Linked DNA regions of Arabidopsis thaliana. The protein of the gene in region 2 interacts with the protein of the main gene of each other region in a pairwise test. Each region holds a gene or a part of one and is shown on either strand. Other genes may lie near its edges. The genes, in order: bZIP52, bHLH38, AT5G61590 and NTM1.

Region 1 (7,767 bases), on a different chromosome or scaffold from region 2:
GTATCAAGCACCTTTGAAAAAGGTCTAAGAACATTTGAAAACCCAGAAATAGTGATTTGAGATATATACCACCAAAATAGGAGGAGCCTTGAAGATAACTATGTCTGAAACCTCTGGCTTCCTGAAAAAGTATGAGACCTGTCCAACACCAAAGCAAATAGACAGATTTGATCACAATGGTTTAGTGTGATTAAGCCACATCACCAATTAAAAGATCAATGTGCATTTCTTATGTAAGAAGAAACACATTTAAGACCATTTCCAATAACAAATTTTAGTTCCAACAATGCAGAATTGGTTAAAGCCGTCATTTTAAAAACCTCTCAAGATCAAACATCATTCTACGGTCACAATTAAGAACAGAACAAACCAGTAATCTCACCTTCTCGGCTATAACACGATCACCCACATCGAGAGTAGGAAGCATAGATGTTGAAGGTATAGACTTTGGCTCGGCCAAAGCCGATCGGAAAAGGAGAGAAACAGTAACCGCCGTGAAAGCAGCCTTAGCATCCTCCGAGCAGATATTCAACAGCTTATTAACCCATCCGTTTCCACCATTCGAGACTTTATCACTCAACTCCAACTTCACTTTAGGATCACAGACCTTTCCTCCTCTATCAACCTCAGCAATATCCGTTGATAACGTCGCCGGAATACTACAAGGCATCCACTTGGAACCCCTAAGGAACGGGATGACAGAAGAAGTCTTAAAGGGAGAGATCCCGAGACCGGTCATACCCGAAAACTGTGGAGCTCCAGTCAAATTCATGAGAGAGATCATACCCAAGACAAGTGGACTCTTGCAGCCTTCTTCGAGGATTTCCCTCGCAATGGTGCTATACATTGATGAAGCTGGTCGAGCACGAGGGCCTGAGCTTGGACCCCATGTGTTGGATCCGGGAGATTTATCAACAATATCTGGTATCTGATTGTGGCCGCAGAACCTGGGACGAACCCATGTTTCGAAGCATGATCTAACGTCGCCGGTACCGACACGAGTCCCGGCGGATGAAGCAATGCTCCTAGCAACATAGCTGGAGTAGGTGAAGGTAACCCTAATCGCCATAAATGCAGATTTTGAAGAAAGTAAGGGTTTCTTAAGGAAGACCTAGAAAGGAATAAGGAATTGGAAGAATCGATCTGCCGGAAAGAGAAACGGAGAGCTTGTTCCGCCGGCGAGATCGAGTAATTGTTTCAGGCGGGGAAGCGAAGAAGCGAAGAAGATGGAGATCTCCCAGAGGAGAGGAGAAGGTTTTGGTCGAAAGCAGAGAGAGTCTTCTTCTTCTTGTTGTTGGTTGAGTTGAGTCATCAATTACATTTAGGGCCAAAAATGGGCCTTTAAATATACAATTTCTATTCATAATATCCCATAATTAAATACGCAAGTATCAAAAATGGCTATAACATTGACAAAAATAAATTAGAATTATCTGATAAAAAGATGGTGGAGTGGGTATTTCACAAAATTACAATTGTGAATTTTGTTGTACTGAGCAAAATTGTTTAATACATTTTTAGATGTACAATTAATAAAAGCACACGATAAATTTCATCGTTTTTTTTTCAATCTTTTGCTCGTAAGAACATAATTTTTTAAGCCGATTTGAATTTTAAAGTAAAGACATTAGCACAACCTATGTTTCTTGTCAGTTGTCACATATTAACATTTGCTAAAGATATTTTGGTGTTTATAAATCAACTATAAGAAAATAATATATAACCTAGATATATGAAATAATGAATCATGTATAGACCATTTTGATATCCCTATAATACATGGTAGACATGTAGTTATGAACTAGAGACGTAACAAGGTAAAGGCTCTGGGACCGGGCGCAGGAGTGTGTATGTGGAAAACTATAAAGAAAGTGAATGACCGCAGCACATACGTCATCTCTCTCTTAAGGTTCGCCCGAAGCTTCGTTGATATTTCTTAATTAATCAGTATTATCTTTAAATAATTAGTCGTTAACTTAGTTGGGTTGAGTTTGACCACAACCTAATTAACAAAATGGATTCTGTTTCGTTTTTTTTTCTTTTAGCCAAACACTAATCTCTCGTTGTCTTCCCAAATGCTTCTATTTAATCAAATATTTATATTGTGCTCAAGATACATCGAGGCTTCATACGGATTAGAATTTGTCTATCGGCATGTTTTGTTTTGTTTTTTCATTTTTTGGCATAGTTTTGTGGGGGCAATTTACTTGTTGAACCCTAGTTTACATGTATTCTCTTGAATTTCTCACAATTTTCTCAAATTTCGATTTCATAGAAAGTTAGAAACAAACACTCACAATTCACAAATTCCCACTGGCAAAAGATGAAAAAGCCCAAAAAATAAAATTACGTATCGCCATCAAATAGGGCCTATTGGTTTAAATGTGGTTTTATTGTATATCAGATATTAAAACAAAACAATTGTCATCAAAGCACCAGTGGTCTAGTGGTAGAATAGTACCCTGCCACGGTACAGACCCGGGTTCGATTCCCGGCTGGTGCATGAGCTGTGAAGAAATTGGCTTTAGCATTGGTTGGGTCCAATGCATTCTACTGAATATCAGTTGATATTGCCCCATTCTGAGCTCTCTCCTTTTTTTTTTGGAAGTTATTTTGCGAAATAGACCGAGCTTCTCCAAGGACGTCCACAGTCCAGAGAGTAGATGTTTCGTCTGATAACATGGTAACAATGTTCTAAACTCTCCACGTTCTTATTGTTATGCATGTTCTATTGTTCTTGCTAGCTCAGTTTGGAAAGGTTGGAACTTTTGTTGGTTCTCTCCAACAATGGGTCTTTGCTTAAAGGTTGAATCGTGTTAGATGTCTTTCAAAGGTCGAATATTTTCGTTAACAGTCTTACAGAGTCTCAAAAACTAATCTCTCAATGCTTCGTCTCTCATTTCAACTCCGACTCCAAGTTTGGGAAATTTTGTCTCATGGAGAAGTCCGGTTGGGAGAAGTTGTCTCAAAACTCTAATGGGATGACGGATGTGAGGGTGTCTTGGAGAAGAAGCTACTGAGGAACTGCCTTGGTGTTGTCGTATCAAAATCATTGATCCCAAAATCAAACTATTAACCCAATTGGAATGAACTTATTAAACATCTCCATCTCCTAGTAAAATAAAACAAAACGTAGCAAACATCATTGTATACAAAAGAAAAATGAAATTTATTAGTCTCCTTTGTTCCTTGAAGAACAAACAATGGGAATAGCAAACAACGAAACTCACGACACATAACCAACACAAATGTATACGTACGTCCTTTCTTGCACAATGGCACCTCAAAAAAAAGAAAGAATAAATAATCAAAAGTGAATCAAATGAATTGAAAAAAAAAAAAACCTATTAACAGAAAAATGAGCCTCATCATAATCTTGTCGTCAATAGGCAGAGCTACTCTCACTAGCAGAGAGAGAAGGTCCTTCAGATTTGACTAAGCTTGAGCTATTGCTACTAATCTCCAGCCCTTGCATTCGGCCGTTCTGTAGAAAGTCCGACACGCTTTGAGAATTGGACATCTCCATAGGATTGAAACTAGAATGCATCTGCATATCATGGAGGTTCATTGAGCCATGATATGGTGGAATAGCCATGAAAGTTGAGGAAGAATACTGAATCTGCTGCATTCCCATATCAAACGAATCTGAATTACCAGAGATTTCTCCTGTCTCCATCTTCATCCTTTCAACTTCTTTCCTCAACGCTTCGTTTAAAGCTGTAACATCAAAAAGCAAATATTGAAGAAATGCACCAAAATGCATACAAAGAAATTAGCTTCTTTTTTTTTTGTGCTTACCATTACGAAGCTGAGCTTGTTGTTCCATTGCTTGCAACCTAAGTTTCAGCTCTGTGTTTTCGTTTGCTAGTCCATTTGTGTCTCTCTGGATCAATCAAAACAACATTGAAATCAAGATCTGTCTATGTATGTAAAACAGAGGAAAGAACTTTCCTATTCTGTTGGGATCAAACGAGGAATCGCCGAATATGGAAACCTGGTAGAGAGTAAGCTGAGCAGAGAGAGTGGTAGCTTCGGTTTGAAGAGATTGAACTTTGCGCTCAAGTTCTTGAATGTATCGAGCTTTTCTCTCTTTGGATCGAGCTGCAGATTGTCGATTCGCTAGAATCCTGTAATCAAATCCCTAATTTCATTGCAATTCTTCAATTCTGTGGAAAGAGAAACAAATTTGAAGAAGAAGAAGAAGGACCTTTTGGCGCGTTTGGGATCGATGTTCCAAAGCTCAGAGAGTTTTTCAGGAGGCATAGCTTTCTTAGCGTCCATGATATCACCGGCATACATGGCGCATCCAGCGTCAACGGAATTGCTGTGACGGTGGCGAGGACGAGAGGAAGGAGGAGGAGGAGGATTAGCAGCGCCGGAAACGGAGTTGGAGGAGAGGGAAGGATTTTGAAAGGGATTGGGATTAGAGGTGAGGCTATCGACATCGATGAAAGAAGAGAAGAGATCGTCGTCGGAGGGAAGGTCGTCGGAGGAAGGTGGTGCGGCGGAGGAGAGGGGATCCATGAACATGAACATGGACATATCGTCGGAGCGAGATCGGCGGTGGAAGGAAGAAGATGGAATCGGATCGGCATTAGGAATTGGATCGGAGGAGGGGATAATAGTGGCGCCGGGCTTTGGGACTGGTGGAGGATCTGATTTCTCCATTTTTTTAAGAGAATCTGAGAGATGAATGCTTTGGTTGTGTGAATAATTATGATTATTATTCGCAATTGAGAACAATGTCAATGGAGATAATGATGGAGATGAAGAAGACGAAGCTCTTTCTCTCTCTCTCTCTCTCTCTCTCTCTCTATCAAATGAAATGAAATGAAGAGCGTAGGAGAGAAACTCGACTCTGTGAGGAGAGAGAAGTGACGTCACTAACTATAAAATTGCGAAATTGAGTTGATTTATTAATAATTAAAAAGAAAACTAGTTGATGAAAAGTAAAAGGCACATTGGCACGTGAACCATCGCAGCATCTTGTCTCCCTCCCTTTTTTTTTTATTTTTTTTTCCTTTTTCTTTGTATTTTATTTAATTATTCGATTTCATGATTTAAATTTGTTTAACTTTAAATCTTCTTTGTAGCATTCATTACAAGATTCTGTAGTTGCTTCAACGAAATTTATTAATTTAAGCTGTTATGGCATTACATCTCCCCACGTCTGAGTGTATATTTTTGTATCTTTGAGTCAAAATTTTAACAAGTAAAAAATAGGCAGAAAGCCTTGTATGAACTGAGAGTCTGAGAGAATGTTTTGTGGGATAATAAGTTGGTAACTTGGTATGGAACTATCTATGGATTGGGAAACAAGTAAAATTCACTTATAGTGAAAAATACTTATTGGTTGGATCTAAATCATACGGAGGCCTTAATTATCAGGCCCATACAAGAAGACAAGTATTGTTTTGTTTTAAGAAATCCTCGAGCATATAATGCGCCTGTAGTGGACAGGAGGATGTTTTGGGCCTTCTCTTAAATTGGCAATTGGGCATCACTTTGTTTACCGGTCAAAATAATTAAAAAGATGGTCGTATTGATCGCTTTAAGTAATAAGTTTTTTAGTTAAGTCTCTCTAAATTGTCTTAAACGCAAGTAGTGGACCGGCATCATTTAATAGTGATTCAAATTAAAAACCTAATGATGCTTACTTTTACCAGCTAAAGTTTCTTTTGTCTTTTTTTTTTTTGTTTTATTATTATTTATCAACATACTTGTGAATTGTGATTCTCCCTTTTTTTATATATAAATAATGAACATACTTAAGATATAGTTTCTCCCATTTATTGTCACCTAACGGGTATTTTTTAAAACCAAATTCTGTTGGAAAGTTCTTCTCTAAACATAAATAATATATAGCTCATGTCTATGCTTTTTAATAGTGCCCATTGTATTTCTTTTCTTATTTGAGTAATTTATTCCAGCTGTTTCTTTTTTTTCCCTCTCGTAATGATACGACATAGTGACATACATCTTCTGTTTCTTCTTTTTTTGTTCAAGAAAATCATAATGACTACAGGTAATTAATCACACTTCTACAAATCAGTTGATAATCAGCACCATTTTCCAATAAAAGTCGATACTTTGGAAAATTTCGTGACTTTTAGTATCGTGGGGGCCAAAATGCACATAAAGATACGATATCGATGACCAAATTGCCATATACTATATGATTCCAATATACCAATGATTGCTACTATTTGCTAATGGTATACGTTTTTAAATTTTAATTAATACATAAAAAAAAAATCAAGGTGGGATAAAAAGGTAACTTTATTGACAATATTTGGAAATTCATCGCACCTGGCAAGAGATTTACCTACTGTCATTAAAAAAGGATTAAAAAAACGACAAAAAGGTCAAAGACAGGTCAGACAAGGAATCATTAAACAAAGGAAGAAAAATAGCAAGTAGAATGGTTTTGACGGAAGAAGGTGGTGAAGTTATGGCGGCGGCGCAACGGAAACTTATGATGACGCTCTTCCGTCGGTCTCATCCATTACCTGAAATAGTCAAACTTAGAAAATGTCGTATTATCACTCTTCAATGCTCCCACCCAATACCAACTACTTTCCTCTTTCTTTGTCTTGTGTTTCTTACTTGGTCATGGCCTTTTCCTTCTAAACTCTCTCTCTCTCGAGATTTCGTTTTTTCCTTGGGTCTCCTCTGTTTCCTCCTCTCTCGATATGTTTTCGACCCATCATGTCTCTCGTCTCCTCATACCTCTGCTCTTCTTCTTCCTCTTCTGTTGCTTTTCTTCTACTTTTGCTCAAGACGACATCACCAATCCCGTTGAAGGTTTCTTTTTTGTTGTTGTTGTTGTTAAAAGGCTTTGTCTTTGGTGTTAGATCTTCAGACAATTTGTGTCTGTGACAATGGGTTTTCTTAGCTTTCGACTGATTTGGTACTGATCATTGATGTTTTTTTTGGTTTTAGTGAGGGCTTTGCGAGTGATCAAAGAAAGTTTGAACGATCCTGTTCATAGATTGAGAAATTGGAAGCATGGAGACCCGTGCAATTCGAATTGGACTGGTGTTGTCTGCTTCAACTCCACTCTTGATGATGGTTATCTTCATGTCAGCGAATTGTATTGTCTTCTTCACTCTTGCTTTTTTCTTTTATTTGGTCTTCCTTGAGATTTGTTTGAGTTAGCTTTGTTTATACTTGTAGGCAATTGTTCAGTATGAATCTCTCAGGGAACTTGTCTCCGGAGCTTGGCCGGTTGTCTCGTCTTACTATCCTGTACGTGTTTTTAACACGATATGTTGCTTGATCTTTTGTCATACTCAATGGTGAATAACTTTCTTTTTGTATTGTACAACTTCTTCTCTAATGCCAGGAGTTTCATGTGGAATAAGATCACCGGAAGTATACCAAAGGAAATTGGGAATATCAAGTCCTTAGAACTCTTGTTAGTCCAGGACTTTGTTGTTTACTTCCCTGCTTTATTTGCTTTGGGATTGGCTGCTAACTTCACTTTTCCAGGCTCCTGAATGGAAATCTGTTAAATGGAAACTTACCAGAGGAGCTAGGGTTTCTTCCAAACTTGGACAGAATACAGATTGATGAAAACCGTATATCAGGACCACTTCCCAAATCTTTTGCAAACTTAAACAAAACGAAGCACTTGTGAGTTCTTTAATCTGGTGTCGAGTTGTACTTGGCTGTTTCAATATGGTGATTCCTTCTCCCCTTGAATATGTTACATTTATTGCTTTTTTTTGGTCAATCTTATCTTTTTCCAGTCACATGAACAATAAT
Region 2 (7,496 bases):
GGGGGAATGGAAGAACGCTACGATCTGTGGCAAAGGTACTTTTATTTGGACGGATGGGAATAGATACGACGGATTTTGGGATGACGGTTTTCCTAGAGGAAACGGTACTTTCAAATGGGCTGATGGGAGTTTCTACGTTGGTCATTGGTCTAATGATCCGGAAGAGATGAACGGTACTTATTATCCATCAGGAGACGACGGGAGTCCTGAATGGGATCCTAAAGACGTGTTTACTAATCTGAGTGAGTACAAGATCTGCAGCGGAGAGAGAGTTCCTGTGTTGCCTTCACAGAAAAAGCTATCTGTTTGGAACTCTTCCAAACGTGTCGAGAAACCGAGGAGGATGTCTGTTGACGGGAGGGTAAGTGTGGGTGTAGATAGAGCGTTTGAGAAGATGAATATGTGGGGAACCGAAAGCGGAGAAGGTGCTGCTGATATTGATTCCACCACGAGGAGGGACTTGGATGCTGAAATGATGAGACTAGAGGCTGAAGGGTTCATTCAGAGCCTGAGACCGAGCCCTGCACCTATGAGATTGCCAAGGGCAGGGAGGAAGCAAGGCGAGACGATATCTAAAGGCCACCGGAATTACGAGCTTATGCTTAATCTACAGCTTGGAATCAGGTAAATATCCCAGTTTGCTGCCTCATTTATACAATTTGAAGTTTTGTTGATGTATAAGCGCTCATGTGAAATGTATTTGCTTACGCAGACATGCTGTTGGAAAACAAGCTCCGGTTGTGTCTCTTGATCTTAAGCATTCGGCTTTTGATCCAAAGGAGAAGGTATGGACAAGATTTCCACCAGAAGGAACCAAATACACACCTCCTCATCAATCTAGTGAATTCAAATGGAAAGACTATTGCCCATTAGTTTTTAGGTGAGATCAAATAACATTAGGCTTTACTTATTTCCCATCTGTACGTATTCTCACACACTGTTATGCTAATTTTATCTATCTTTAGGAGCTTGAGGAAGCTATTCAAGGTAGACCCAGCTGATTACATGTTATCGATCTGCGGGAATGATGCCCTTCGGGAGCTATCATCCCCTGGTAAGAGTGGAAGCTTTTTCTACTTGACAAATGATGATCGTTACATGATAAAGACAATGAAGAAGTCTGAAACTAAAGTGAGTTTGTTTTATTTTAAAATGACAAGATGAAAAATATGTAGCTGCTATTAACTTTATTCTGGAATTATATAATGCAGGTGCTTCTGAGGATGCTTGCAGCATATTACAACCATGTTCGAGCATTTGAGAACACTTTGGTCATTAGATTCTACGGTCTCCACTGTGTGAAGTTAACTGGACCAATCCAAAAGAAGGTAAGAATTAAGAACAATGCTAAACAGACAAAAAAACTGAGACTTGGATTTTGATTGAATATATCATCTCCTTTATTGCAAATTGCAGGTGCGGTTTGTCATTATGGGAAACCTATTTTGTTCTGAGTACTCCATCCACAGACGCTTTGATTTGAAAGGATCTTCTCTTGGCCGTACAACCGATAAACCTGAATCGGAAATCAATTCAAATACAATTTTGAAAGATCTTGATCTGAATTTCATTTTTAGACTACAGAAAGCTTGGTACCAAGAATTCATCAGGTTGGAGATTCATCAATCATTCTCTTTCCATTGACATTTTTCATTGTTATTTATTATGCTGATTGTGTTTTTGTTCAGGCAAGTCGACAAAGACTGCGAGTTTCTAGAACAGGAGAGAATAATGGATTACAGTCTTCTGGTTGGGATTCATTTCAGAGAGGCATCAGTCGCTGGAGAGCTGATTCCTTCTGGAGCTCGCACACCTATTGGTTCGCTTTCCTAACAAAACCAAATATCATATCTCTCCTTTGAAACCCGTGAAGCAAATGTATATGTTTCTTTCTCGCAACTGCAGGTGAATTTGAAGACGAATCAGCCCCTCGTCTCTCTAGAGCAGACGTGGATCAGCTTCTCTCTGATCCTACAAGGTAAACACAAAACAAATTAAACTCAATCCTAGAAAGCAACTTTCTCGATTTCGGTTTTAAGAATAAATCTGTTGGCTGTTGCAGGTGGGCTAGTATCAGACTTGGAGGCAACATGCCGGCTCGAGCAGAGAGGACAATGAGGAGAAGCGACTGTGAGTTCCAGCTAGTTGGCGAACCGACAGGAGAGTACTATGAGGTTGTCATGATCTTTGGAATCATAGACATTCTTCAAGACTATGATATCAGCAAGAAACTAGAACACGCTTACAAGAGCATCCAGTACGATCCTACTTCAATCTCAGCCGTCGATCCGAGGCTGTACTCGAGACGTTTCCGTGATTTCATCTTCAAGGTCTTCACTGAGGATAATTGAAACAAGTCTCTTCTGTTTCTGGCTTTCACAGCTTTTCTTGTGGCTCAAGAAAAAAGGGCTTAGGTATATATATACACTACTACCTTTTTCTTTTAAGTTTTTAAATGTTCTGATTTTCTAATAAACTATGTAACAACAGTTGACATCTGTAGCAGTGAATGTTTTTTTTTTCTCTGTTTATATTGTTTTGTTCAATCAATATTGACTCAGTACACAAATGATTTGGTCCAGATCAGTGTTAGATTCATATGAGAAAAGGACACAGCTAAAAAGAAATGAGAACTAGTGGATAAACACACCATTATATGAATTAGTCACCTAGTTAAACGAGTTTTCACATTTCTCGTACAAGTACAACATCCTTTCACTTAATTCTTCGCAATTAATCTTGTAATCATCCATATTCTCCACTTGAAGATGCAAAGTGTAGAAGAGCCTCTCTCCTTGAGATCTTGATGATGAAACATCCACAAGAACAAACCCATCTTCTTCTATCCCACCCAACACATTTGATATCGAAAAGTTATGAATCTTGGACGATGAGACTTGGACCATCACTTCGTTGTCACCAAGCCTAGTGGCAGAAACCGTTGAGAGATAACTCGCGACCGCCTTTGGTTGCTGCTTATCGTAAAGCTCAAAGTCTCTTTGACCCGATACTCGTACCAAAATTTCTTCCTTCTTTTGTATTAGCCTCTTCACTTGCTGTTGCAGCTCTGGTATGTACTTTAAGCTCTTTGAAACCGTTTCAGGAATACTTAGCTTCTTCTGCAAGAAAGTAAAGAAAAAGAAATAAGGGTTAACTCGGTGTTCTTCTTTAGAATTGTATAGCTGTATAGACGAGCTTATTAGAAACAGATGTAGATGACATATCAGAGTAGCTACTAGCGATCTTACCGATTGATCAGAAGCTGGAAGACATGAACGGAGAGATGAGAACAAAGTGTTGATCTTCTTGCGTCGGTCACGTTCACTAGCATTGTGATTAAGCTTCTTGACCACAACCGGATTGTTGTCTATCTCATTTCCTTCTGACGAAACAGATACTCCCAAGCTATTCTGATGATGAGTCACTTCATAAGTCTGTGGTACCGTCAATTCAAGAAATGTGCCGTTATTTAGGTTATCTCCGGCACCGTAATAGCTTTCGTATTGATTCGTTGACGGCCAACCGAAGTTTGTGAAAAATGAAGGGACTAATGCACACATTTTTTGCTTAATCAAGGACAAGGTTATTGATTCTGTTTTTTTCTTGAAGTTGTTTTGGTAGGAATATTATAGTCTCCTGATTATATATGCGGATGAAAGACTAAAGAAACAAATCTCTGTTGTTAAATATTGTTCAACAAACTATATAATAAGTGTTTTTATTCGTTGAGATTATATGATTGTGTTATACGACTTACATACTATAAAGAGAAATATTTAGGTCTCTATAGGGCATAGGTTGGCACGTGTCGAAGCCTATGTTCCACGCATGAACTAGGTTTAGTCACAAGCTCAGCATATTGTGTAAGAATCAAACATGTATATGACACGATAGTAAGATTATTGTTTACACATTGAAAGATGACTCATGCGAGTGAGAATGTTGAGAGCTCGTGGTAATCAGGTGGAAGATGCTTTGGGCGTCTTTACTTCCTCGTCCCATACATTTTTTATGTTGTAAGCATAAACTAGCATTTTCATGTTGTAAGCATATACATAAGCATTTCAAAATTTAATATCTTTATCTAAAATAAATGTAACCTGGTTATTTTAATTCCACAATGACGATGGTCATTTTATATTCTAATGTCAACTTGATCCCATTTGTGTCTAAAGTAATATATTTTCTGATTTAGTTATTCTTTCACGAATGGATCAAAAATATTCCAAAATTGTATATGTGATTGTGAATCAATGAAGTTTCCAACATTCGTTTCGTGACTCACATTTTCTAAGCTAATATGATAATCTCCGAAAGCTACAGTTATCATCATGTAAATTCATATCCTTATTCGATCTCATATATTTTATAACCAAGCCAAGTAAACCAATACATTTCTTCTTCTTTTTTTAAACAAACATAAACTAAAAATCCAAAGATTTAACTCTTTCAAAACCAATACTCCAAACTTTTTTCTGTGATGCCACTCTGATTAAAAAAACTGCCTCTAGTATATAATAACTCCAAGATCAATGGATAACCCTTTGACAAAAAAAGGATCAATGGATAACCACATGGCTTCTCATTTATCATTTATCCTAATAAATCTTAATTAACTCTTTAATGTCACCACAATCTATTAATTCATAAGTGCAACTTGGCTTAATTACATAACTTATCTTCTAAATTGGAGCCCATAGACTCTTTACTATAATGTTGCCCACAAGTAGTGATATATAGTAGTTGTTAATAAAATACCCTCTTTTGTCTTTTCTCGTTTTTATATTCTATTGATACACCAAAACATCACTAACTCTAGTCTTAACTGGATATAAATAACAAGATATACATAAACAAATTTTTTATTAGTAACATTCAAAGTCTAGGCGAAAATTAAAGTTTATAGCTGTAACATGAACTTCATAATAATCAGTTTATACTTAATAGCATAACTAATCGATCATTGACTTCGACCAAAAAAACGAAACAACTCGACTACAACGCTTTGTCAAGAATGTTAGATTTCGAAGAGAAAAAGGACGACATAACATAACTATAAAGAAACAAGACCAAATTCTCATATATATGAGTTTCCACATTCCTCATACAAGTACAACATCCTCTGACTTAACTCTTCGCAATTCAGCTTGTAATTTTCAATCTTCTCCACTTGTAAATGCAAAGTGTAGAAAAGCCTTTCTCCTTGAGACCTTGAAGATGACATGTCCACAAGAACAAACCTATCTTCTTCTAACCCACTTAAAACATTAGATATCGAAAAGTTATGAATCTTGGACGATGAGATTTGGACCATCACTTCGTTGTCACCAAGCCTAGTCGCAGAAACGGTCGAGATATAATTCGCGACGGCCTTTGGTGGCTGCTTAACGTAACATTCAGTGTTTCTTTGACCTGAAATTTGCACCAAGAGCTCTTCCTTCTTTTTTATTAGCTTCTTCACTTGCTCTTGCAGCTCTGGTATGTACTTCAAGCTTCGAGAAACCGTCGCAGGAATGCTTAGCTTCTTCTGCAAGAAAGGAAAGAAAAAAGGTTTAACGCAGTATTCTTCTTCTAAATTGTATAGATGCATAAACTATAACGGGTCTAATCAATGAGTCGGAGTAGCTTCTTACCGATTGGCCAGAGGCAGGAAGACATGAACGGAGAGATGAGAACAAAGAGTTAATTTTCCTGCGACGGTCACGCTCACTAGCATTGTGATTAAGCTTCTTGACGACCACCGGATTGTTGTCTATTTCATTTCCCTCCGACGAAACAGAAACACCAAAGCTATTCTGATGTTGAGTCACCGCTGTAACAGCTCCATAAGTCTCCTCCGGTACCGGAAAATCAAGAAACCCGCCGTTGTTGAGGATATCTCCGGCGAGGTAGTAGCTGTCGTACTCTCCCGTTGATGGCCACCCAAAGTTTGGAAACAATGGAGGTACTAATGCACACATTTTTGCTTACTAAGGACAAGTATTGTAGATTCTGTTTTCTCTAGATGCTTGGAAGCTGCTTTGGTTAGGATTGTTCTGAACTTAGGTAGAATATTATTGTCCAACGTATATATAATGCGGATATATACAATTCAATATATCAATCTCTATGGTTAAGTATAAATTAACAAACTATACTATTATACAACCAAAACTTTAAAAATTCGCAAACTATATTATAAGTGTTATACGACTTGTACTATAAAGAAGAATGTTTGGATCTGAGGACGTAGGTCGACACATGCCAAAGCCTATGTCCCACGGGTGAACAAGGTCTAGTCACAAGTAGACTGGCTATATAAAAAATTAAAGAAGAATATTACATGTATTAAGTATTAGAGTTTACATATTGAAAGATGACTCAGCCTGAAGAAATTGTGGAAGACGCGTGTAAATCAGATTCAGGCGTCTTCCTAGTCCCAAACACTTGGATGTTGTAAGCATATACATAAGCAATTCTCATGTTGTAAGCATATACATAAGCATTTTATTTATTTGTTGACCTCCCAAAAAAAAAAACCAGAAGCATCTTCTTTAATTACTTTATTAAATCAATGTTAGCTTTGTTAATTTAGCTATTAACAACCCTCGGTCGGTGATTTATCATGCGGATTGATAAATCATTATCGAACTAGGGTCAACTTTAGGTCATCCTCTTTCCAATCAATTACCTTTAGCCTCAAGTAAGCAAATTCTGTTGTGCTGATTGAAGACCAGGTCAAAAATATTCCAAAATTGTATATGTGATCAATTAAGTTTCAAGATTCTCAATAGTAGGTGACACATTTTTCAAATCTAATAAAGCCCCTGAAAAGCTACATTTATCATTGCCGGCCTCTTCCACGCCCACCACCACGGCCACCTTTTCCCCGGGAACCGCCGCCTCCTCTCCCTCTAAAACCACCACCTCCTCTACCTCTGAAACCGCCTCTAATATTTGTTGATTTCAGTCCAAGAGACTGAACTCCTCTCCTCTTGTTTCTTTGCCCATCTTCATACTCATCGTCTCTATCTTCTTTGTACTTTGATGACCCTCTCGCCTTGAAAGAAAACTCCCGTGATCCTCCAGGACCGAATTTGATATCTTTCGAGCCTCCAAAGTTGCCACGCCGGTTCTCTATAGCCTTGACACGCTCGCCCATAGGAAGACTATCTTCTTTAGCCAGTGAAGTGCGGTTGTGATAAGCTGCGGCATGCCGCTCATCTTTCACTTCATACAACCTGACACCAAATCATCCACATCAGAAAACAAAAGAATCAAGATAGAATGTGTCAAATGTAGATCCTGGAATGCAGTCAAAAGACACTAACTTCGGAGTTCTCGCTTTCTTGCTTGGCCTAGTTGCGTCTCCATCGTCGGCCTCGTCATCTGAAGGCTGTGATGCATCAGAATCACTGTTCTCGTCATCATCTGATACAGCTTCAAAGTGTTCATCTAACAGAGAAGGTTGCTTCTTCGAAGAAGCAACAGGGTGTAGGACACCATATTCATATGAG
Region 3 (7,516 bases), on a different chromosome or scaffold from region 2:
TCACATATTACTGAATGCTGAATGTAGCATTAGTAATTCTACTGATACTTGCTTCATATTTTGTGAAGGAAGTTGAGAGGCGTGGTCTTCAAGTGGCGGTTTCTGGCATTCCTAAGACAATTGATAATGATATTGCTGTAAATACCCATTGATAATTTTCAACTTAAGGTCTACTTTTCTCTCATGTGGAGTTTCTTATACATCTTCTTCATCCATTGTTCTAGGTGATTGACAAATCATTTGGCTTTGATACGGCGGTTGAGGAAGCACAACGAGCTATTAATGCTGCACATGTAGAGGTCGAGAGCGTGGAAAATGGAGTTGGTATCGTTAAACTCATGGGCAGATACAGTGGTAAATATTCTGTGACATATGTTGATTACTTTCTTTTGTGAATACGAAGTTAACTTGTGGTACAAATTCTGCAGGTTTTATTGCCATGATTGCAACTTTAGCGAATCGTGATGTGGTAATAGATTAGTTTGATTGTTAAATTGTCACTATAAACTTTCTTTATTTGTGGTGTATAACAATGGGAGCTTTGAAATGTGACAGGATTGTTGCTTGATTCCAGAGTCTCCATTTTTTCTTGAAGGAAAGGGTGGGCTCTTTGAGTTTATTGAAGAACGACTCAAAGAGAATAGGCACATGGTTATTGTGATAGCTGAAGGAGCTGGACAGGATTATGTTGCTCAAAGCATGCGTGCATCTGAAACTAAAGACGCCTCAGGAAATAGACTCTTGCTTGATGTTGGTCTATGGTTGACTCAACAGATAAAGGTATTGGTCGAAACTCGAAAGTTAAGAAAATGGTTTCTATATGTTTTCCCTCAAACATTCAAGATGAATCTTGTGACCACTATGTTGCAGGATCACTTTACAAATGTTCGGAAAATGATGATAAATATGAAGTACATAGGTATATCTTCAGACTCACTGTCTCTATCTTGTTAACAACAGTTAACACTCTTCTGTGCATTTCATTGACATGTACTTGTTGAACAGACCCAACGTATATGATAAGAGCAATACCGAGTAACGCATCAGACAATGTCTATTGCACTCTTCTTGCCCAAAGTGCAGTTCATGGAGCAATGGCTGGGTACTCAGGTTTCACTGTAGGACCAGTTAACAGTAGACATGCTTACATCCCAATTTCTGTAAGCTTTTCTCTTTTACTTCTCTAATCATTCTTAGACTAAAATCATTGAGTCCTAAACCTTTGTGGTTAAAGTTAATCCCATGATTTTTTACTTCTGCAGCAGGTGACGGAAGTGACAAATACGGTGAAGTTAACTGATAGGATGTGGGCTAGACTCCTTGCATCGACAAATCAACCGAGTTTCTTGACTGGTGAAGGAGCATTGCAGAATGTGATCGACATGGAAACTCAAGAAAAGATCGATAACATGAAGATCTCTTCTATCTAAGAAACAGGTCAGTTGATATTCATCAACTGTTCCAAATGTATACTAGATATATATGCATAGGAGATATCTTTATCAAAAAACCATGAAGTAATTTCATTGTTATAACTTATAAGAATTCTTTGGTTTTAGTTATTCCTAATAATAATAATCAACATCCATCTCAACGATGAGGTTGAGATGTTAATACATATCTTCCTCTGTTTACTTTTCCATATTGCAACTTGTGCATCTCTCCCCTCTTGAGCTGTTGCGTGTGGTCCATCCAATTCTTTGTCATATTTAAAAAATGAATGCTGACTTGTACCCAACCATGAGACAAAACTCTGGCTGCTATATTCTTTAAACTTGGTCCCTCTTGCAACTTGTTCATCTTTCTACTCAATTCACTGATTCACGCTTTCTGGACATGTGAACTAATTAATACCTCAGTGATATCGAATAGTGAATACTGAAGCCACTGTACGGTACTGTTTGTGTCATTGGAGAAACTTTAAGGCTTATGTTAAGGTCTTTCAGGTAGAAATTCGATTTTAAGTATCACAGTAGATTAATAAATAAATGTAGTCGATAGATTTAGGTCCTCTTGTCTTCCCAAATAGTGTACTCTGAATAAACCGAAAGGACAAGAACTTTGTTTCTAGAACCTTAAGCTCTTTAAGACAAGAGAAAACGCAGAAGTTCCATTGTTACAGGAACTCTTTAGTACATATTTTGCAAGAGTTCTTTTCAGTACACTAGTCTAACAGGTTCTTGGCTCTATACATGATGCTTCACATACTTAAGATATTAACCTATATATACTAATTAAACATCACTATTCCCCCATTAGTTTGATGACGATGATGAAGTACTTGTTGTTGTTCCTTGAGGCTGTGGTACATCGGTTCTCCTCCTTTTTCGGCATGAATTGACCGGAGCATCATACTTTCCGGCATCCAAAGGAAAGTTGAGAACAGCTTTTCTTCCCCTGAGCTTAAAAGCTGCATAGTCGTAAGCCCTTGCAGCATCAATATCACTCTCAAAAGTGCCTAACCAAATCCTGGATCCTTTCTTTGCCGGATCTCGAATCTCTGCTGCAAATTTCCCCCATGGCCTCCTTCTCACGCCTCTGTAATGTCTCGTTTCTTCAAACCTCTTTGTTTTTTTCCGGTTTGAGACAGTCTCAACCTCAGGTGACGTTGTTGTTGATGATGATGATGATGATTCTGCTTCCATTTGCAGAATCTCTTGGACATAGGAATCTGGATCAAGAACAGGTGAACTAGGTTCCAGTTTCGGAACTGGGTTAAAGGGTTCTAGAGACCAGAGTCCGGAGACAAAAGCAGTATCATCAAAGACAAAATCTTCAATGAAACCATCAGGGATCATCAAGTCTTCAAATAGATGTTTCTGTATAACATCCAAATCAGAGCTTTCCTCAAAAGTCTCCATTTCTTCCTCTCTCTTTTTTCTTTAGACAAGACAGGAGAATAAGAAAAACTGCAAGTGGTGTTTGAAGAAAAAGTTTTGATGATATTGTTGGCTATATAAAGAAAGGAATCCTAAACATGTGTTAACGCAGCCATGGGTGAGGTGTCAAAAGTCTCTCTCTGTGTCTCTCTGGTTTAACTCTGTGGGGCCAAGTCTTATCCATTAAACATTTATGGAGGCAACTTAAGATATTTTGTCAGGACCCTTCAAGTTGTGCCAACTTGATCTTGTCTATGATGCTGACAAATTTCACTAACATCCATTTTATTCCTCTAGAGTTTAAAATACCTTGAGCTACCCATGGTTCGAATCCTAAGCTGAATGCTAACAAAATGGTGATTATTTTTTTTAACTAGAATTTTGATTGAGTTGGTTAAGGACGTAGGTTCATTTGAAATTTTAAATCTAAAACATAACACAAACCAAAACCAAAAAGACTTGAACTACTAGTGTTTATAATCGTAACTTAAGTCTTTAAAAGCCAATCTCTCAAAAGTTTTTTCTTTTTTTTTTTTATCTTAAAAGTTTTATGATAAGATTGATATATGATTTTCGTAGTAGTAATGACTCACTAGGTAAGCTCTTAAATATCAAAAGATATTTTGCATATTCACATTCGAGTAAAAAGATAAGAAGATAATGACTTTCACTCGAATAAAAAGGAGAGACAAATTCATCAAATTGCTTGTCTTGTAGGGTTGTCTTGCTAGGATATGATTTGAAGCAACTTGATATTTCTTTGTTTCTACATAACTTCGTATAGGGCTCCACATATATAATAACCAAACCTTACCCTCTTGCTCAGTTGCTTGACAATTATACTCCTAATCTCATAATCTTTTATAATAGCATGTAAGATAATATTAATTATTTACTTTTATTGATGCTTTGTAGATAATCTTCGACAGCATTATCCATTTGATTGGTGTTTTCCACTATTGAAATTTTGAATTTGTTTAGATTTGTATGTATTTTTAACTAATTAATTGTCTTTTCGTTGCACACTATTTTTTTATAGCTCCGATTTACTTTTTCCTGATCCAATTTTATAATCTATTGACTATTTAGCAGATATGAAGTGTTTAGATATGGACTTAACGAAACTGATGACTAAGAATGTTTATACAATCAATAAATTTATAACATCAACAAATACAAAATTAAATTTATATTTTCAACATCCAAATATTCTACTAAAAAAAATAATGAATAAAATGATTGGTACTAATTAAACTACTTATTTGATATTTGCACACTACCGCTACCTTTATATTATACAAGAATAAATGAAATCATGAGAGTGACGCAAGTGAAAACGTCATCGTACGTTGACTTTTCCGAAGTTTTAAGTGACGGAGATAACGGAAAAGTTGGGAGACGTCGGAGATAACGGAGGAATACTGAAAATACCATCTCCTGCTCCCACATCCCAAAACCCCATCCAACTTGACGGCGTCAATGGTACCACCGGCTCAACCTCAGCCTCCGTCGTCTCCGACGTATTACTCTCTTCTTCCTCCACTTTAACCCTAGCCGCCTTCTCCTCTTCCGGCGGAGAACCCTTATCTCGCTTTCGTTTCCCTAATCCGATAACTCCTTCCCCAGAACAAGTTTCTGACGTAACCCTAACATCGAGAGGGAAATTCAAGATTGCTTTTCTTCCACGTAATTGAAACGCCGCTTGGTCATAAGCTCTTCCAGCTTCCACGGCAGTGTCGTAAGTCCCAAGCCAGATCCTACAACCCTTTTTGTTCGGATCCCTAATCTCCGCCGCGTATTTTCCCCACGGTCTTCGTCTCACTCCCCTGTAGTGCCTCTCTTCTTCCTCTTTCTCTGTCTTTGTTGAAACCGTTCTCGAGACGGATAGATTCGGTAAGGGCGGTTTACGCTGGTTAAGAGTCGAATTCGGTTTAGGGGATTGGTTGGTGATGGTTCTAGGGCCTGTTTCTGAGTGAAAGTTGTGAAGTTGGTTGGTAAAAAGAGATGGGTGATCAGTTTCCATGGAAACAAAGTCTGTGAGAAGGTGTTGGCTTATGAAATCGATGGCTAAAGCTTCTTGTTTAGTTGCCATCTTCACTCTACTTGATTGACTCTCTTGCTCTGTTGTATATGTGTATGTGTGGAAGTGGGAATAAGAGTGACGAGGAATCGGACTTTCTTATATAGTGGTAAAAAAACAAAGAGAGGGTTCGAGCCTTCGAGGGAGTTTCGAGGATCGGACCGAGAAAGATCATACTACCTTTTCTTGGACTTGTTACTTATTTTCTCTCTTTAGATTTCGTCCTTTTTCTTTATTTTGTCTTTTTGTCTTATTCCTCTACGTGGACATCTATCATTTAAAAGTGCTTATCAAGTTATCATGTGATTCTTCTTTTAGAATTTTTAAAAATGCAATATGGATTATTTTTAGTATAAGTGGAGTTTGATTGAGATGTATTAAAAATTTAAGGAGTTTAAAGAATTCGGAAAACCTATCAAAACTTTGTTGTAGTAGTTATGCCAATTCCAAAAGGCAAAGGACTTGGAATATTCAATCAAACACACCTTCATACATTTGCCAAAATTCTAACCATTGATCCTATATTTCTATTTCACATCTTCATCTCGACAACTCAAAGTTAATATAGTTTCTAAGTTTTTTAGTTTCGGTCCAAAACCGATCACATGCAAACAATTTCAGGAAATATCTTTAATACTGTTTTAGAATTATTTCAAAAATAGGGAAAAATTTTATTTAATGATCCAACTTTTGAAAATATATGATATTTTTATATATCAATTTCACATGTGTTAATTTTTTAACATGAACAATATGTTGATTAACTGTTTGAAACATGAGAATGTGTTGATTAGACTAAAAAACCAAAGAGTTATCAAGCGATAACAGATTTTTAACACTCGTTGGCACCTGTTAACGACTTCGTTAGTCAGCCCAAAACGACATCATTTAAGCTTTGATCGAATTAAAATTAGGACTTTTCCCAAATTCAAAAAATCAATCCCAAATTTTCCTAATTCATGCTTTTGACGAAACCCTAATTATCTCCCACAATCTTGAATTCGTTTTCACGAATACCTTCAGTTAGAAAGAAAAGCATCACATGGAATATTGGATTACCAATGCAAGACGAATTCGTAGACATGCAAATTGCAATGGTAACACAATTACCATAAACATAAAAAAAAATAAAAAAAAATATGTTAAATTACGATAAGCATAATCGTAATTGTTTCCTTTCCATAAACTTATATTTATTCATATATCAAGAGAAATTTAAACGTAATTAGTAAATTGTAGATATGGGTTCTTCAAGTTTCTTAAGCCATTGAAGGAGATTCGCGCTTGCAGACAGACGTACAGCCTCGTTTATCAAGAAAACAGGTCCTCGGTAGTCCGGCACAGCAAAAACACCATTTTTGATTTCTGTGTTTTGCACATTCGACACGCAGACACATTGATGGATCTAATTGCAGCTCCGCCTCAGAACCTTGTGCGTTTCCAACTATAACAAAAGAGAAAATAGGAGTTAAAACTAACTATAATTGCGATGGTAGATGATGAGTTATATGCATGCAAAAATGTATGTACTTACATTCATGTAAAGGAACGAGGAAAATCATGAAGAGGCAAAGGATAGCAAAATATAATGATGACATTGTTGTTGTGATATATTCTTCTTAAAATTATACCGAAACGTTGTTTGTTATAGGTTGGTCGAAATCCACACAAGTAATAGGGTTTTATATAGTACTAAACTACTAATTAAAAGTGCACGTCTCTTGTTATAGTGATGCACAAAAAAACGCTTAGAGCTAGTTGTTTTATTAGTTTTAGTTCTTTGCTATTCCTTAGTAATATGACCTTTTCTCTTAAAAGAAAATTGTTTTTGAAAGAAATACTAATCAGACCTAAAACCATTAGAAGTTTAATTTGGTCGACAAGAATAAATGAAGAATCATCCATCAAATAGTGGTTTCAATGGAAACTAAAGTATAATGGAATATCTATAATTTATATATATATTAAAAAAAAAAAAATTTTGAATGTTGAATTTGTTTCATCCAAGAAATGAAGTTGAATGATGGCAAAATAAATAAATAAAATAAAATGAAGTTGAATTGTCTGACCGCTATGACTAAAGAAGCGACCACTCATCAACGCCATCGGCCATAGCTGTTAATTATTTGTTGGATCCACGAAGGAGCTTACACATCAACTTGCCAAAATTTACACTTATAATTGCAATCAATACAAAGGTTTCGTCAATATAATTAACCACACTATGCTACATATCGTCGAAAATTGAAACTAATTTATCCGGTAACATTTTGAAGTTGTAGTTTCATATAGCCTGCAGATACTGTGGTTTTTGTTTAATTGCAGTCTTTTGATTCACTCTTTGTTCGTCGCAAACTTGCAATACTTATCAGATTTTATTTTGCCTGCTAATTATCTCTAGTTCATATCTTTCATTTCACATATTGTGTCGATTTTTTCAAATTGATATATAATAGTTGAGTTCCTTTTTTCAAATTTGTGTGTGTTTACGAAAGAAGAAAAGTAAACGAACGAGGCCAAAAAAATGTGAAATTTTTTAATACATACAAAAAAGATG
Region 4 (8,383 bases), on a different chromosome or scaffold from region 2:
CCATTAGCGAGATCAACATCTGTAGTTACGACCCAATTTACTTGCCTTGTAAGTTTCCTCACTTCAAAATCATCATCGTTGTCTCATCATCGGTCATTTCTAATTCTGGATTTGTTTGGTTGTTGTAGCTTTATCGAAGATAAAATCGGATGATCCTGTGTGGTACTTCTTCTGTCCAAAGGAGTATACTTCTGCGAAGAAGAAGGTAACGAAGAGGACTACAAGTTCAGGGTATTGGAAAGCTACTGGTGTTGATAGGAAAATCAAAGATAAGAGAGGTAATCGCGGCGAGATTGGGATAAAGAAGACGCTTGTGTATTATGAAGGTAGAGTTCCTAAAGGTGTTTGGACTCCTTGGGTTATGCATGAGTATCACATCACTTGTTTGCCTCAAGATCAGGTATAATAAACTCAGAGTTTCTTGAATTTGAGCTTCTGTGTTAGTTTGACTTAGCGTTATGTTTCTGTTAGTTGATCTTCTTGAATTGGATTTGGGTTTGATTCATCTGTCCCTGTGTTGGTTGCTATCTTTATCCCAATTTGAGGTTAAAGTCATGTTCTTGTAAGAATAGATTTGGGTTTGACTTATCTTTTCCCTATGATGCTTAGTACATCAAGTTTAGGTTCTGTGTATCAGAGTTTGAAGTGTTATATATAGAAGTTGTGGCCTAGAAGGCTAGTGTATTTGCTTCCCTGTGTTGAATATATTACTGTAATCTCCCCTGTGTTGGTTGCTATCATTAGTACGTTCTGTGTTGTCACAGAGTTTTAAGCGCTATGTATAGAAGTTGTAACCTAGTGTTCTTACTTCTGCCAAAGCTTGTGATTGTTTGAGTTATGTGTGTTTGATTTTTTGTTTTGTTGGCAAAGAACTTATGTGTGTGTGTACTTTTGGAATTTGTTCAGAGGAACTATGTTATCTGCCAAGTGATGTATAAGGGTGAAGATGGAGACGTCCCATCTGGTGGTAACAACTCGAGTGAGCCGAGTCAATCTTTGGTCTCTGATTCGAATACTGTCAGAGCTACGAGTCCCACAGCGCTTGAGGTGACTCCAGTTTCTTTATTTGATAATCTCATGTACTTGATTCGTTTACTCAAAACTCTCTTTTACATTTTCAGTTTGAGAAGCCAGGTCAAGAAAATTTCTTTGGTATGTCTGTGGATGATTTGGGGACTCCAAAGAATGAACAAGAAGATTTCTCTTTGTGGGATGTACTGGATCCAGACATGTTATTCAGTGACAATAACAATCCTACTGTGCATCCACAAGCTCCTCACTTAACCCCGAATGATGATGAGTTTCTCGGTGGATTGAGGCATGTTAACCGAGAGCAGGTTGAATATTTGTTTGCCAATGAAGATTTCATATCCAGACCAACCTTATCTATGACCGAGAACCGCAACGATCACAGGCCAAAGAAGGCTTTGTCAGGGATTATTGTTGATTATAGCAGTGATAGTAATAGTGATGCTGAATCGATATCTGCAACGGTAAAGCAAATCACCCGTTTTCTTTATCGTTACTTCTGTGCTGTAATCTCCATTCTCACATTTTGATTATATTATGTCAGAGTTACCAAGGAACATCAAGTCCAGGTGATGATAGTGTTGGTAGTTCGAATAGACAATTTCTCCAGACTGGTGGAGATGAGATTCTATCGTCTTGCAATGATCTACAAACCTATGGAGAACCTTCCATCAGTAGTAGCACCCGGCAATCTCAACTCACACGAAGCATCATACGACCAAAACAAGAGGTTTTGCGTTGCTCTTATGTTGATTCTATATGATTTCAACATATGTTGGATATATAAAGATAATGATTATGTAACTTTCCTTCACAGGTGAAACAAGATACATCAAGAGCGGTTGATAGTGATACATCCATAGACAAGGAGTCATCTATGGTGAAGACAGAGAAGAAGAGCTGGTTTATTACAGAGGAAGCAATGGAGAGAAACCGCAACAATCCACGGTATATCTATCTCATGAGAATGATCATAGGCTTCATTCTCTTGCTGGCTCTCATTAGCAACATCATATCGGTGTTACAAAACTTGAACCCGGCGATGAAGTTTGATCGCGAGAGATAGACAAAAGCTAGCAGATTGATCAAAGCACTCGTTTTTACTTTGCTTTTATTTATTTCTATTTTCTTCCGAAATTTTGATGTATATATGTGTGTGTATGTATGACCAAGAGGTATGTCTTGTACCTAAAGTTAAATAAAATTTAGGGTTTGAAAATTTTATAACATTTAGAGCGGGTCCATAGTTCAGTGCCGTGGTGGAGCATTAGACTGCTGATAAAGAAAACATTCGACAGAGACCAGTGAATGGTTTGAAAGGTTTCTCAAAGATTTGGTTTGTTGATAATTAAGAGAATGATTACATACCGGACAAGGGACTGGTCTAATGTGATTGATACTTCGATGATCAATCAATCAAATATTACTTCGATGATCAATCAATCAATCAATCATATTACTTACAACTATGTAATATGATTCTATGAACCTTTTTCTTGTTTTTTGTAAACTTTAATCCCTTATCTTGCAAGCCAAATCCATAGACATATATTTTACAAAATTAGTAGTAGTACTATATTGAAGTAGAGAAAGTAATAACGCCATGTCGTCGTCGTCGATGGTGGCGGCTATAATTTCCGAAAGATCCTTCGACTCAAAATACACAAAAAAAACAAGGAAAAGAGAAAGGTTCATACTTTCGTTCGAAGCTCCGACAATGAACCGTCAATAATTTGCCACGTCTTCATTCTCATTCACAATAAAAATAAATTTTGTTCCTCTCATTTGTCAACCTTTTTTGTTTTTGTTTAAAGAATTTGTCAACCTATTGGAAAACATTTTGCATTCAATTAAAATCTTATCGCTAACAGTTTTTTGTTTTTTGTTTTTTTTTCAACTATCTTATTTATTAACAGTAGTAAATTTGTTATAAAATACATAATATTACATTTCTTCCAATACATAATTGATATCTAAATATCCGATCGTTGTAAATTTGGAGTTTCATTCATCTTAAAATGTGTGAAAAATTACGGCTGATGTGTGACAAACACAAAAGATAAAAAGTTACTAAACACAATTTTTTTACAAAATTAAATTGAAACGAAAAAAAAAAATTTAACAAAAAACTAAAAAGAAAAAACATTTTAGAAATAGACACAAGTCATCAACACGGTTTCGGCGCGAGTAGACTTCACGGCTTTTGTTCTTTACTTACTGAGAAATTACTAAAATTTGGTTTTTTTTTTTTTTTCAAATAGAAAAAAACTATAAATACCATCACTCGCTATCTCTTCACCAATCACTTCCTACTTGTATTTGAAAAAGAAAGAAAAACAGAGAGAGAGAGGGAGAAGCCAAAAAAAAAAACAGAGAAGCAGAAAAAAATAAATTCCTTCACCCAAACCCTAGAATTTTTTTTAGAAAGTTTTGTTTTTTCGATCTGTTTCTGTGTGAAAAGATGATGAAAGGTCTGATTGGGTATAGATTTAGTCCGACGGGAGAGGAAGTGATCAACCATTACCTAAAGAACAAACTTCTGGGTAAGTATTGGCTCGTTGATGAAGCTATTAGCGAGATCAACATCTTGAGTCACAAACCCAGCAAGGATTTGCCTAGTAAGTTTATTATGAATGATCTTGATCTGTCTCTCTTTGTATCATCATCGATCATTTCTAAATTTGGGTTCTTTCTGTTGTTGTTGTTGTTGTTGCTGCTGCAGAGTTAGCTAGGATCCAATCGGAAGATCTTGAATGGTATTTCTTCTCTCCGATTGAGTACACGAACCCGAATAAGATGAAAATGAAGAGGACGACAGGTTCTGGGTTTTGGAAACCTACTGGTGTTGATCGGGAAATTAGGGATAAAAGAGGAAATGGTGTTGTGATAGGGATTAAGAAGACGCTTGTGTACCATGAAGGTAAGAGTCCTCATGGAGTTAGAACTCCTTGGGTTATGCACGAGTATCACATCACTTGCTTGCCTCATCATAAGGTATAACAAATCCTTCAGAGCTCTTTTGGTTCTGTATCTTCCATTTGAATTCTGCTCATTTTTGTCTTCTTCTTGATTTGGGGATTTTTGAGCTCTGTGGTTGTGTAAAGATTCTAACTTTGAGTGTTTTTGCTTCTACCAAAGCTTGTGATTGAGTTGTTTGATTGATGTGTGTTCTGTTTTTGTTGTTTGGCTGGCAAAGAACTTGTGTGTGTGAAACCTTTGGAATTTGTTTAGTATACATCTAGTTTGATTTGAGGTTCTGTGTTATTGTTGTTTAAAGAGTCTCAAGAGTGTTTTTGCTTCTACCAAAGCTTGTGATTGATGTGTGTACCTTTTGGAATTTGTTCAGAGGAAATATGTTGTCTGCCAAGTAAAGTATAAGGGTGAAGCTGCAGAAATTTCATATGAGCCAAGTCCCTCTTTGGTATCCGATTCGCATACCGTCATAGCGATTACCGGAGAACCGGAACCTGAGGTGAGTCCAGTTTCTGAGATGTTTCATTATGATTCATTACTATCAACCTGTGTCTTTACTTGTTGTTGTCTCTTTTTACAGCTTCAGGTTGAGCAGCCAGGTAAAGAAAATCTCTTGGGTATGTCTGTAGATGATTTGATAGAACCAATGAACCAACAAGAGGAGCCACAAGGTCCTCACTTAGCTCCGAATGATGATGAGTTTATACGTGGATTGAGGCATGTTGATCGAGGGACGGTTGAATATTTGTTTGCCAATGAAGAAAACATGGATGGTTTGTCTATGAATGACTTGAGAATCCCAATGATCGTCCAACAAGAGGATCTCTCTGAGTGGGAGGGATTTAACGCAGACACCTTTTTCAGCGACAACAACAATAACTATAACCTTAACGTGCATCATCAACTAACGCCTTACGGCGATGGCTATTTGAATGCATTTTCGGGTTATAACGAAGGGAATCCTCCCGATCACGAATTAGTGATGCAAGAGAACCGCAACGATCACATGCCAAGGAAACCTGTGACAGGGACCATTGATTATAGCAGCGATAGTGGCAGTGATGCTGGATCCATATCTACAACGGTAAAGCACATCTCTCATTTTCTTTATCATTACTTCCCTGGAGTATATTCTGTATTCTCAGCTTTCCATTCTAACCTGACAGAGTTACCAAGGAACATCAAGTCCAAATATTAGTGTTGGTAGTTCAAGTAGACACTTGTCAAGTTGCTCAAGCACAGACTCTTGCAAAGATCTACAAACTTGTACAGATCCTTCAATAATCAGTAGAGAGATCCGGGAATTAACACAAGAGGTCTTGAGTTGCTCTTATGTTGATTTTGTTGCTATTTGTTTGTATCTTGTAATCTAAAACATATGTTGGACTTTAAAGATGATGATTATGTGATTTTCCTTTTCAGGTGAAACAAGAAATCCCAAGAGCTGTTGATGCACCCATGAACAATGAGTCATCTTTGGTGAAAACAGAGAAGAAAGGCTTGTTTATTGTAGAGGACGCAATGGAGAGAAACCGCAAGAAACCACGATTTATCTATCTCATGAAGATGATCATAGGCAACATCATATCGGTTTTACTACCCGTCAAAAGATTGATCCCGGTGAAGAAGTTATGATCGCGAGAGAGGCAAAGCAGATCGATCAAAGCACTAGTTTGATATAGGAAAAGGAGGACTAAGAAGAGTATACACATGGACGGTGATGATTAAAAAAATGAATCAACGGCTGAGATGAAGCTATCAGAGATTGTTGGGTTTTAAAGGAAGCTGAAGATCAGAATTGAATTTTATCGTGAAAATTGTGAAAGTTTGTTATCTTCTTCTCCATTCTCTGTTTCTATGAGAATTCTCTATGGATTCTCATGGTTATTTCCTCATTGTAGCTTGAGCTGTTTCTTCTTCTATGCTCTAGCAATTTGAGAAGTGAATCCGTGTTTTATGAACATTGATTCAATCTATCATTCGATTTGTGTTTCATAGAGAATGATAAGCTCTGGAACTTATCTAAGATGAAAAGAACAGAAAGAAATGGAGGGAGAGAAGTATTGCATCTTTAAGGTGGAGAAGAACATAGATAAGAGAGAAATTTAGATTAGATATTGTTGTTGATCGTTTTCGATAACCATTACAGAGACGAAGAAGAGTTTAAGTAGAAGACAATAAGAGGAAATTGGGCTTAACACTAAGCCTAATCAAAGCCCCACTAAGGCCCACTCATCTTCAGTTTTGGTTTCTATCAATACTCCCCTCGTGAAGAGCCAGCTTGTCCTCAAGGTGGAAGAAAGTGGAACTCCGAAGCATTGGTAATGACTTTATACGATCCATCACCCGCTCTCAATGATGTTGGATGTGTGTCCGGTTCAACCGTTCGATTGCGAAGATCTGGGCCTAGCTCAATGAAGCCAATGAAGTTCTCGGTTGAATCGAAATCTGAATGTAAACCATCAAGAGTTGCCAAACCCCACTTATATCTAATTGCATCACATTGTGTTTTGTACTGAAGCTCTGGACTGAAACCTTTGGACGATAACCTGAAAGCATGTTTCAAAAAACAAAAGTAACCATATGTTCTTTAATGGTGAAGAGACGTGACTTCCCTTGCCACCCCTGTTATCTTGTCCTTTACACTTCTAGTGCATAACCACAACTTGCTTCCAAACTCACAATTCCATTTCCCTTGGTCTTCAAGAACAGTAGTATTCTTAAGTAAGTTCAGGCTCTCTATAAGCATCAGTTTCATCCCAAAAGATCCATTTACCATCATATCTTTGAATCCCTGCTGCCTAATATAGCTATTATGATTCTCACAAAGGAGAAATTCAAGCTCAATCCTCCATATCTTCCAACAAACCACCAAGCAGTATAATTGTAACACCCCACTCCCACATAGTTGGGCCAATTTGTTTTGACATTATGATATAGCTCATAAATGGCCCAATCTCTTTTTGATGACAAACAACAAGGGTTTTGTAAGTGTCATATATATTGGGGTATTTAAGTCCTAAACTAAGTCAGCCACCATCATCATTGTTGAGACGTGAGTTCGTGAGCCTTTGTTATCGTTGTCGTAATCTCCGCATTATCAACGTCGAGAGAACCTATTGATGTTCCACCTCTTTGTTCATGTCTTCTTCCAACATCAATGTGTTTTGTTTCTCTATAACCAAACTGCCATGATCTGGAAAGAAAAGAAAGGAGAAGAATAAAAATTGAGAAGATCGTGAAAGAGAAAAAGAGAAGGAAGCGGAGATGAAGGCGGAAACATGACGGAGGATAAATCATCACCACCACGAAGGAGAAACAGTGGGAAAGTGATTCATGTTCTTAACACTAATCAGAAGTATTAAGTGAAGAAGACCGAACCAGATTGAAGCTTGGCGAAGCAAAGAAAGAAGAAGAAGAGAAAAGAGGGAGGAAGAACAGTTTCAAGATGGGGTTTTGTAAGGATCGTTCCAGTGGCATCAGAGAGACTCAAGTAAGGTGTAAGGTGTCTTTGGAAAGATAACGATATCAAGAATCCATAGCCGCTGACAGAATTGGAATCGAGTATATATTCAAGAAGTTATGCACGTTTCTTTCATGACAAGTAACTGCAAAGTCTGTCAAATGCAGGAACCCCTAAATGACAGTTCGAGATGGTTTGTTGATGACAACGTTTGGAGCTTTTAATGAAGTCCGATCATGCTGTAAATTTGTGGAGTTATTCATGATACTTCTATCTACATATTCAACGGTGAGATCACGTTTCTAACGGTTAGTTCCTGAATTTTGAGTATGTTTCCAAGACAGTTTTATTTGAAGTAAATAGTGATGAATTTGTGTTGTTGGTTGGGAAACGAGTTCGATTAGAGCTGAAGTTTTGCAGGAGATTTCATGACTCATGGATTCAGTTCTTAGTCGAGGGAGAACCAAGTTAAAGCTTATGAGCATGTAGTTGTGGTAAAGGTTGAGAAAGGAGAAGTGAATCTTCATCTTCAATTAGGCTAAGGTGAGGGTGGTATTTGCGAAACATGGTATCATTTTCTTTTGTTATGCTTCTTGACGCATGATATGTAGGCTTAGATCTGATTGTATAGGATTAGATTACATGATGATATGACTTTATGGTTGTTGAGTATGATGTTTGATAATGTGATGTTATGTATGATATTATAAGTATATGTATGTTAAATATGATTATGAGTGTATGTATGATGAATGTATGACTGGGGAGAATCGAGCTATGGGCCGTGGTTTCCCTAGTGATGTGGACAATGATGGATCGACGGGTTAACAGCTGGTCAAGAATGGCTGACGAGCCCGGAATGAGAGTGTCTGAGCCACGAGGGCCAGCCTCCACTCATGAGGTTCTAGTCGTCACGAT

Evidence for each region.
Region 1: the proteins of bHLH38 (region 2) and bZIP52 interact in a two-hybrid assay, tested with the Arabidopsis thaliana proteins (one large-scale study listed by BioGRID).
Region 3: the proteins of bHLH38 (region 2) and AT5G61590 interact in a two-hybrid assay, tested with the Arabidopsis thaliana proteins (one large-scale study listed by BioGRID).
Region 4: the proteins of bHLH38 (region 2) and NTM1 interact in a two-hybrid assay, tested with the Arabidopsis thaliana proteins (one large-scale study listed by BioGRID).

What each region holds. Positions count from the first base shown.
Region 1 is NC_003070.9:2,102,134-2,109,900, reverse strand, and holds bZIP52 (basic leucine-zipper 52), read right to left. Parts: upstream 4,854-7,767; 5' UTR 4,669-4,853; coding exon 4,208-4,668; intron 4,128-4,207; coding exon 3,995-4,127; coding exon of another isoform or gene 3,893-3,994; intron 3,884-3,892; coding exon 3,799-3,883; intron 3,718-3,798; coding exon 3,383-3,717; 3' UTR 3,152-3,382; downstream 1-3,151. Other genes in the region: Plsp2A (Peptidase S24/S26A/S26B/S26C family protein), read right to left, coding at 70-138, 383-1,069; AT1G06840 (Leucine-rich repeat protein kinase family protein), read left to right, coding at 6,693-6,804, 6,943-7,093, 7,177-7,248, 7,346-7,417, 7,492-7,635, 7,752-7,767.
Region 2 is NC_003074.8:21,081,535-21,089,030, forward strand, and holds bHLH38 (basic helix-loop-helix (bHLH) DNA-binding superfamily protein), read right to left. Parts: upstream 3,712-7,496; 5' UTR 3,561-3,711; coding exon 3,249-3,560; intron 3,120-3,248; coding exon 2,670-3,119; 3' UTR 2,501-2,669; downstream 1-2,500. Other genes in the region: PIP5K4 (phosphatidyl inositol monophosphate 5 kinase 4), read left to right, coding at 1-624, 713-880, 966-1,131, 1,212-1,328, 1,417-1,610, 1,689-1,819, 1,906-1,978, 2,063-2,351; bHLH39 (basic helix-loop-helix (bHLH) DNA-binding superfamily protein), read right to left, coding at 5,078-5,527, 5,634-5,960; EDA7 (embryo sac development arrest 7), read right to left, coding at 6,824-7,220, 7,311-7,496.
Region 3 is NC_003076.8:24,762,398-24,769,913, forward strand, and holds AT5G61590 (Integrase-type DNA-binding superfamily protein), read right to left. Parts: upstream 3,115-7,516; 5' UTR 2,862-3,114; coding exon 2,256-2,861; 3' UTR 1,859-2,255; downstream 1-1,858. Other genes in the region: PFK4 (phosphofructokinase 4), read left to right, coding at 69-137, 225-354, 429-469, 556-780, 871-919, 1,006-1,160, 1,263-1,430; ERF104 (ethylene response factor 104), read right to left, coding at 4,246-4,971; AT5G61605 (EMBRYO SURROUNDING FACTOR-like protein), read right to left, coding at 6,219-6,403, 6,494-6,557.
Region 4 is NC_003075.7:667,737-676,119, reverse strand, and holds NTM1 (NAC with transmembrane motif1), read left to right. Parts: upstream 1-3,330; 5' UTR 3,331-3,490; coding exon 3,491-3,647; intron 3,648-3,751; coding exon 3,752-4,023; intron 4,024-4,375; coding exon 4,376-4,501; intron 4,502-4,582; coding exon 4,583-5,086; coding exon of another isoform or gene 5,087-5,168; coding exon 5,169-5,318; coding exon of another isoform or gene 5,319-5,375; exon of another isoform or gene 5,376-5,424; coding exon 5,425-5,637; downstream 5,638-8,383. Other genes in the region: NAC069 (NAC domain containing protein 69), read left to right, coding at 1-48, 129-400, 907-1,047, 1,122-1,493, 1,574-1,759, 1,847-2,095; AT4G01535 (uncharacterized protein), read right to left, coding at 6,290-6,530, 6,609-6,781. UniProt on the Arabidopsis thaliana protein: Transcription activator activated by proteolytic cleavage through regulated intramembrane proteolysis (RIP) mediated by calpain or its functional homolog. Regulates cytokinin signaling during cell division.